Xenopus tropicalis: one gene and its partner. The protein of the gene in region 1 binds, or shares a complex with, the protein of each later gene. Links are inferred from orthologs where the notes say so. Each region holds a gene or a part of one and is shown in the gene's direction. Other genes may lie near its edges.

Region 1 (3,612 bases):
TTCCCATGGACCCAACCAGAAACAAAACACTGACTTGACTATTTCACATCAAGCACATCCCTGATTGGCTGGGGGCAACCTGCCACAGGTTGGAGTGTTCTTCAGACCTACCAACATACAATAAAACAAAAGAGGGTTGTGGAATGAAGGTGTACAGCAGGTACCCAATGCTCTAGGCCCCAACCAGTGCTTTATTAGGGGCTTGCTTACCAACCCTCTTGTATGGCTTGGCTTGGAGTCAGGTTTTGGTTGCCAAACAGAGCCTTGTGTAGGCTTCCAGATCACATAGGGGCTACCAAATAGCTAATGATAGTCCTCATTTGATACCCCTGGTACATTTTTCATTCTTGTGTTGAATTCAGAACTCAGCTTGTTGTATTATGAGGAAAAACATCAATCTTAAAAGCACTTTGTTTTGGATAAAGTTGTGGCAACCAGAGAGGGGCCAACAGGGTGCCCTAAGCAATCCCCTGACCTCCTACTTGCCACCTTCCACCTCCACTCACCACCAACCCCACTGCAATACATTGACTTCTTGCTGGTCCACCTCCACCTCTGGATGTGAATGGCCAGAGTTAGGGGCAGTTGAGGTTTGCCCCCCCTACAGTTGCACCCTAGGCATGTGCCTTTGCTGCCTATGCCTAATTCTGAGCCTGGTGGCAACATTGGCAAGGGAAGTCTGGGCTGATTTGTTTGGCTTGTTGCCACTATAAGCCCCACTTGGAATAGCATTTTGGATGGACAATAGGAGTGGGGCTTACAGCTAAATAACTGGTGGGGAACCCTGCAGTGACGCACAAAGAAAATTTGAGGGTACAATCCTATATTTTGAGGTATAACCGCCGTATATTTTTGAAATTCTACAGTAAGAAAACCCTTTGGATTCTTAGACCCCGGCACTGGACCTTTTATCAGAACAAGCAGTTTCACAGATGACCTGGACATGGAAGGGGACACTCTCCTCACCCCAATTACTCACATCTCAGAGTAAGTACTGCATTCATTTTGTACAAAATACAGGAACACGTATTTGAGAAACTTTAGTGCATGGAGCTGCTGCGGGTTATGTTTTAAGGGTGAAATATACTGGGCAAATAAAAAATGGATATCAGTTGCAGATTCTTTTACTTATTGTATTAACTGGTGGTATAACTATTATTCAACTAATATTCAAAATTTGTCTCCAGGCACCCCCCTTATCTTTCCCTTTTCCCACATAATCAGATTCTTAATATCCGGCCCTCTATCCAGCCATGTCCCTTAACCATGTTGTATTTGTATGCTTAGGATGAATTATTTGCTTTTATGTACACACCTCTAGTTTTGCACATGAGGCATTACCAATGATTGCTACCATTTACAATGCTTAATACATAGGAAGGCAAACCTGCACATAACCTAAGACCTCCAATGTGGGTTATGGCAGGCTAATAATAGTGCCCATTATCCATAACAGAATATACTATTGCACATTTGACTTGAAGGGGGCATCTTATAGTATAGATTGGTAAGTTATTGGTAGGTTTACTTGCAAGGGTTGAAATTGATGGACTCTTGATGGTCTTTTTTTCAACCCTTTGTAACGATGTAACTATCTTTGTACAGGTTATGATAAAGCCTAAAGGGTTGTTCTTCTCAATATCCACAGGGAAATAATATAGAAGTAAAAAATGAAGGTACAGAGGTCTACGAAAGGAAACACACAATATATGCTTTAAAAACCCTATTCTTTTTCACAGGCTAAAAGAACATCATCGTGCCGCAATAAAAGTCATCCGACGAATGCAGTACTTTGTTGCAAAGAAAAAATTCCAGGTGTGTTGGGTCAAAACTTATAGTGTTATGTTCAAGAGGTGATTATGTTAGATGAGTTATGGGCTCCCAGTTGCACTTTCACTGGTTTGTAAGTACTATAAATACAGATGGGACAAACTTTACCTTGATGTCACATTGGGCTGCACCTAAGCACAGACACAATATTCTCTACTGTGCTCACAAATGTGTGTTGATCTGTTTAAATGGAGGCAGATACCTAGTCCCACCACCTCTGGTCAAAACAGCCTTTATCACAACTTCGCCTATGGCACTTATGGCCAGTGACAGGCCTATACTTCTATGTTCACTTCAGTGTTTCTGAGCTAGGGTGTCCCAACCCTAGAAAGGTTTCTATAAACTGCTGCAGAATCACCCATAATTGCATTTAATTTTATCAGAGTATTGATGAAGACCGTAATCTTATGAAATCCCTTTTGTTTTTTTGCAGCAAGCGAGAAAACCCTACGACGTGCGTGATGTTATTGAGCAGTATTCACAAGGTCACCTTAACTTGATGGTCAGAATCAAGGAACTTCAGAGAAGGTTCTAAACCAGAATCCATCTTTTGGATTTTTTCATGTTTCTCAGTTCCTCCCCCCCCCGGCTACATTAAACAGCGCTGTCATCCTAAACGTTAAGTGTAAAGTCCCAAGTGCAAATAAGTGCAAAGGAGCCATGAAGTCTTTAATGGTGAGAGCAGTCTACAGACACTCACTGGATGTAGAGACTCATAAAAATTTAGGGTAAAACAAGACCAGTTCTTATATTGGCACATGTTGGGACCAGGATTGCCAGCAATTGTCTCCCTAAATTCAGCCAAGGCAAGTGTTCCAAGCGAATTACCTTTCCTATCTCATGTAACTGAGGCACAGTAGAACTTACACACCAGTGCAGCTTTCGCAGAACTCTGCTCCATTTGTATTCACTTCTGTGGCTGATTATAATACAGGTATAGGACCCATTATCCAGAATGCTCAGGACCAAGGGTATTCCGGATAAGGGGTCTTTCTGTAATTTGGATCTTCATACCTTAAGTCTACTAAAGAATCAATAAAACATTAATTAAACCCAATAGGATTGTTTTGCCTCCAATAAGGATTATTTATATCTTAGTTGGGGTCAATTACAGGTACTGTTTTATTATTACAGAGAAAAGGGAATCATTTAACCATTAAATAAACCCAATAGTGCTGTTCTGCCCCCAATAAGGGGTAATTATATCTTAGTTGGGATCAAGTACAGGTACTGTTTTATTATTACAGAGAAAAGGGAATCATTTAACCATGAAATAAACCCAATAGGGCTGTTCTGCCCCCAATAAGGGGTAATTATATCTTAGTTGGGATCAAGTACAGGTACTGTTTTATTATTACAGAGAAAAGGGAATCATTTAACCATGAAATAAACCCAATAGGACTGTTCTGCCCCCAATAAGGGGTAATTATATCTTAGTTGGGATCAAGTACAGGTACTGTTTTATTATTACAGAGAAAAGGGAATCATTTAACCATGAAATAAACCCAATAGGGCTGTTCTGCCCCAATAAGGGGTAATTATATCTTAGTTGGGATCAAGTACAGGTACTGTTTTATTATTACAGAGAAAAGGGAAATCAGTTTTAATATTCTGAATTATTTGATTAAAATGGAGTCTATGGGAGACGGGCATTCCGTAATTCGGAGCTTTCTGGATACCGGGTTTCCGGATAAGGGATCCCATACCTGTACTGTCATACAGGGTAAAAGGACTATAAATGTGCAGTATTTTCATGTGACACTATGGTTTCTTGCAACATAT
Region 2 (4,304 bases), on another chromosome or scaffold:
GATCTGGGGGCCAGTCTGTGCCAGTGTGAACCAGTGAACCATAAGGGGAGCCCCCCCAATACCCCTCACGCTGCCCCTGCACTGACTGTTATACAAAGTGGGCTAAAGGTACCGACCCCCCCAGAACTCTTTCATAGCGGAAATTCCACTTTGTGCTGGAGGTGAAACAGCATTTATTATTGTGGGATCCGAATGGACTCGCAGACACCCGACACCCCCGGCAGGAAATGAGCGCGAGGCCTAATTGCCCCTCCATTCGGGGGGGGGGAATAACAGTTTAGGGAAGGGAATTTTGCTAAAAGTAGAAATTTTCATTGAATGCAGGAACAGTCTGTTTATAATCAGCAGATTTCCAGAGGAATCCAATACACGGGCTGTTCAGCAGCTTTACTGTCGTCTTCATTGTTTCAGGAGTCGGAACCAGCAGTGCACATCGACAGCCAGGCAGATACTAGTTTTAATAGTAAACTGAAATTCTTTTTCATTATTCTAGAAGCAGTTTTTAGTTCAGCTTTAAAGCAAATAAATACACAATAATGCAATGCGGTGAGCAAAGCGCAATTTCTGGATACAAATACGCATTTTTTTTAACCCTTAATGCAGCAGTTTCCCCACATTGTGGTGGATCATTGGTCAATAATTCAAAATGAGCGCATCTGTGTGTTTGCAAATAAGGTGCCAATTGAGTGGCGTTAAATTGTATTAATGTGATTCCGGTGGTGCAAATTGGCTACATCTGTCAGCGCCACCTGCTGGGGGAACCCTGGAATTGCAGCTCCGAGCTCCCCAGCATCTGTATTAAAGGGCAAGTAATGCCAGATTTGCATCTATTTTAGCCCAGTGCACATGGAGTTGTGTTACCAAGCGACCTTACCCCTCTGATATAGGCAAAGGGCACGACTTACTGCATGGCCAGTGTATGGGTGGGAAGAGGGTGCCCCCCAATATGTCCCTATGTACAAGGCTTTAGTGCCCAAGGAGCCCTATACTTACCCTCTGCCAGGGTATGTATGTATGTATATCTTTATAGTGCACTTGTGTCAGCTACAGAACACAGTTTGCCCTGGGCACTGCTAGTGGTACAACTGCTCCCTGTATGTGCCCCAGGGGCAACACTCCATACTGTAACCAACAGTAAATGAGCCCCATGGAATATACAGGAAAGCAAGTTGCTTGGAACTGTGTATAATGGGTAAGTGCTTGGGGCATGGATTGGCAGAGGTGCTACTGCCCCCTGGTGTTGAGGGTGGGAAGTAGAGGCAGCTGTGTAACTTATACAAGTGCCAAGGGGACAAGCAGGGAGGGATACTTGCCCTTTACACTCCCAGGAAAGCCACAGACAGGGGCAAGGGGTTGATCACCATCTGGCATTGGCATAGGAACACTGCAAATGGGTGTGTGGGGGGGTAAATATGTTGGGCACAGAAGGGTTTCAAAGCTACAGGCACCGGATTTTGGGAGAAGACTTGAGAAAGGAGGAGGGCCAGGGAGGAAGGAGGGGCAAGGCGAGGAACTGAATGGAGGAGGAGAAGCCAGAGCTGGGGGCAGTGTCAGATACACACAGAGTAGCAGGTGGTAGAGTCTGCTCCGCACACTGAGTGGCATCTGAGAAACTGGCAGCTAGGTGCCACTGAAGAGACCCCCCCCCCCCTTACACCCACAAGAAAAGAGAATTCCAGGGTTCTGACCTGCAGCTCAGCCAATAGACAGAGGATTTTACCTCCAGGGGAGAATTTAGTTTGGTTGGAGACTGGCATCCCTGTGGCACCGCGGCGCCCCCCCCGGAGGTAAGAGCATGGAGAAGAAAGGGTTAACAGTTCTTGGGTGATCCCAGTATATATATATATACATACAGAGTGGACTGTCAGCTCTGTTCCATTGCCTATTCCCCAACACAGACTGGGGGCACTGTCCCATTGCGGCCAATCAGAGAGACCGGCCAGAGTGCCCCAGACTGGCACTAAAGCCAAATGCCCCCCAATACTGTTGTGCAACTGCATCTCCCAAGCCCAGCAAGTAGCTCACACTAATTAGCTGTTTGGGTAGGAATGTCATACTTCCCCTTTAAAGTTTGTCCCATTTACAGAAAATGTCAAATGATGATAAATATTTAATAAAAAACAGGAGAAACAAACTGGTGAAATACTTTGCAGACATCAGCTTGTAATAATGTTAGTGATTCTGCCATATTTACCTTGGTGGTGCCCCCCCCCAGCCTGGCACTGTAGCCACTAAAGGGGTTTCCATGCCAGTTGCAATGAAATAGGGAAGGTCCCTTTAAATTAACTCTTAGTGTGCTGCAGGCAAGTGCTGTGTTTGTGGGTTTCTCTTCTATTCTGAATGTTTAGACTGTGTCACACAGTCTAAAAAAATCAATCAGAGGATTTTGGTTGCCAGGGTTGTTGTCCTTAACAACCAGAGAGGAAAGTAATTAGAGTGGAGAGGCAGAACAGGAAGGCAAATTGGTGCTGGGGGTGAGATAAGATGAGGATTAAGTGCAACAGGCTGAAAGCAGTTTGGCCAATGGTCTGGGCATGTGTGGTACCCCGGGGGGCAGATTGGCCAGTGGTCTGGGCATGTGTGGTACCCCCGGGGGGCAGATTGGCCAATGGTCTGGGCATGTGTGGTACCCCGGGGGGGCAGATTGGCCAATGGTCTGGGCATGTGTGGTACCCCGGGGGGGCAGATTGGCCAACTGTCTGGGCATGTGTGGTACCCCGGGGGGGGGGCAATTTGGCCAATGGTCTGGCATGTGTGGTACCCTGGAGGCAGTTTGGCCAATGGTCTGGGCATGTGTGGTACCCTGGAGGCAGTTTGGCCAATGGTCTGGGCATGTGTGGTACCCCCGGGGGGCAGATTGGCCAATGGTCTGGCATGTGTGGTACCCCGGGGGGGGCAGTTTGGCCAATGGTCTGGCATGTGTGGTACCCTGGGGGGGCAGATTGGCCAATGGTCTGGGCATGTGTGGTACCCCAGGGGGGCAGTTTGGCCAATGGTCTGGGCATGTGTGGTACCCTGGGGGCAGTTTGGCCAATGGTCTGGGCATGTGTGGTACCCCAGGGGGGCAGTTTGGCCAATGGTCTGGGCATGTGTGGTACCCTGGGGGCAGTTTGGCCAATGGTCTGGGCATGTGTGGTACCCCGGGGGGGCAGTTTGGGCCAACAGAACAAGATGTGGCTCACAATACCTGTTGGCCCGTGGGCCAGTCAGTAGGAGACCTGGGCAGTTGATATTCCCGTGCCGGGGGATTATTACGGCCAATCATTACGCGCTCAGATTCTATTCTTGGTCGATTTCTCTCGGAGGATAAAACACTTGCATGGGGGGGGGGGGCAGAAATAGCAAGGTCAGCTTCCCTGCCAAGCATTGCACCCTTGGAATCTGCCCCCCCCCCCCCGCCGGCGCTGATTGAAATATGCGAAGGACGCAGTTGCCTTATTATTTCCAGACTGGCAGCTCAGCTGTATATTTATATAGGGGCTAATAGGGAAGGGCCCCCCCAAATTCCACAGAAAAACACCGGGGAGTTTGTTTTTGTTCTTGGGGTGAGAGCTGGCGGGGGCTACCAGGAACCGGTGGTACTGGGGGGATTAAACTGTCAGATCTGTTAGGCAGAGGGGGCACTGATGTGTTACCCCCCTCCCTCCCCTGCATTCCTGCCCCCCCCATACAGCAATCATTGGTACCTCCCTGTACTTAGGGCATCACTGCTGTGTCCCCCCCCATACAGCAATCATTGGTACCTCCCTGTACTTAGGGCATCACTGCTGTGTCCCCCCCCATACAGCAATCATTGGTACCTCCCTGTACTTAGGGCATCACTGCTGTGTCCCCCCCCCCCCATAACTCCTCTGACACCTGCTAAACATCAGGAATTGCTATGAACTGAATGAACTGTATATAGAGTATCGGTATTACTGGGTTAGTACCTGAGCGGCCCATTCTCTCTCTTCCAAACCTCTCTATAAACTGATTAAAAGGAAGGAAAAGAAACCAGTTCTGCCTCCCCTTCCTATGCTGATGGTGAGATCCCCTTTCCTCCCCACCCCCAATGTATCACTCATTCCCCCTCTCTTGGTAGGGAATTCCATAACCTGACTGCCCTTACAGTAAGGAGCCCCTTCCTATGCTGATGGTGAGATCCCCTTTCTCCCCCACCACCAATGAATCACTCACTGGAAATGTTACGGAGATTTCACCATCACCATAGGAAGGGGTTCCTTACTGTAAGGGCAGTCAGGTTATGGGGTTAAGGGGATCTCACCATCAGCATAGGAAGGGGTTCCTTACTGTAAGGGCAGTCA

Evidence for each region. Proteins that work in one complex are often made in the same cells at the same time.
Region 2: the proteins of kcnq1 (region 1) and kcne3 are in contact, whole or in part, in a cryo-EM structure (PDB 6V01), measured with the Homo sapiens proteins. The link is inferred for Xenopus tropicalis from reciprocal best matches to the Homo sapiens genes KCNQ1 and KCNE3. Residues at the interface, in NP_000209.2 of Homo sapiens: Arg116, Pro117, Thr118, Gly119, Trp120, Cys122, Phe123, His126, Phe127, Phe130, Leu134, Leu137, Ile138, Val141, Leu142, Ile145, Gln147, Tyr148, Arg181, Met238, Val241, Asp242, Gln244, Thr247, Lys362, Asn365, Ile368; in NP_005463.1 of Homo sapiens: Asp54, Asp55, Asn56, Ser57, Tyr58, Ile61, Met65, Phe68, Ala69, Val72, Gly73, Leu75, Ile76, Leu77, Tyr79, Thr80, Arg81, Ser82, Arg83, Val85, Lys87, Asp90.

The regions. Positions count from the first base shown.
Region 1 is NC_030680.2:25,069,599-25,073,210, forward strand, and holds part of kcnq1 (potassium voltage-gated channel subfamily KQT member 1), read left to right. Parts: intron 1-866; coding exon 867-987; intron 988-1,739; coding exon 1,740-1,815; intron 1,816-2,263; coding exon 2,264-2,358; intron 2,359-3,612. UniProt on the Homo sapiens protein: Pore-forming subunit of the voltage-gated potassium (Kv) channel involved in the regulation of cardiomyocyte excitability and important in normal development and functions of myocardium, inner ear, stomach and colon.
Region 2 is NC_030678.2:176,822,665-176,826,968, reverse strand, and holds the start of kcne3 (potassium voltage-gated channel subfamily E member 3), read left to right. Parts: upstream 1-1,494; 5' UTR 1,495-1,787; intron 1,788-4,304. UniProt on the Homo sapiens protein: Ancillary protein that functions as a regulatory subunit of the voltage-gated potassium (Kv) channel complex composed of pore-forming and potassium-conducting alpha subunits and of regulatory beta subunits.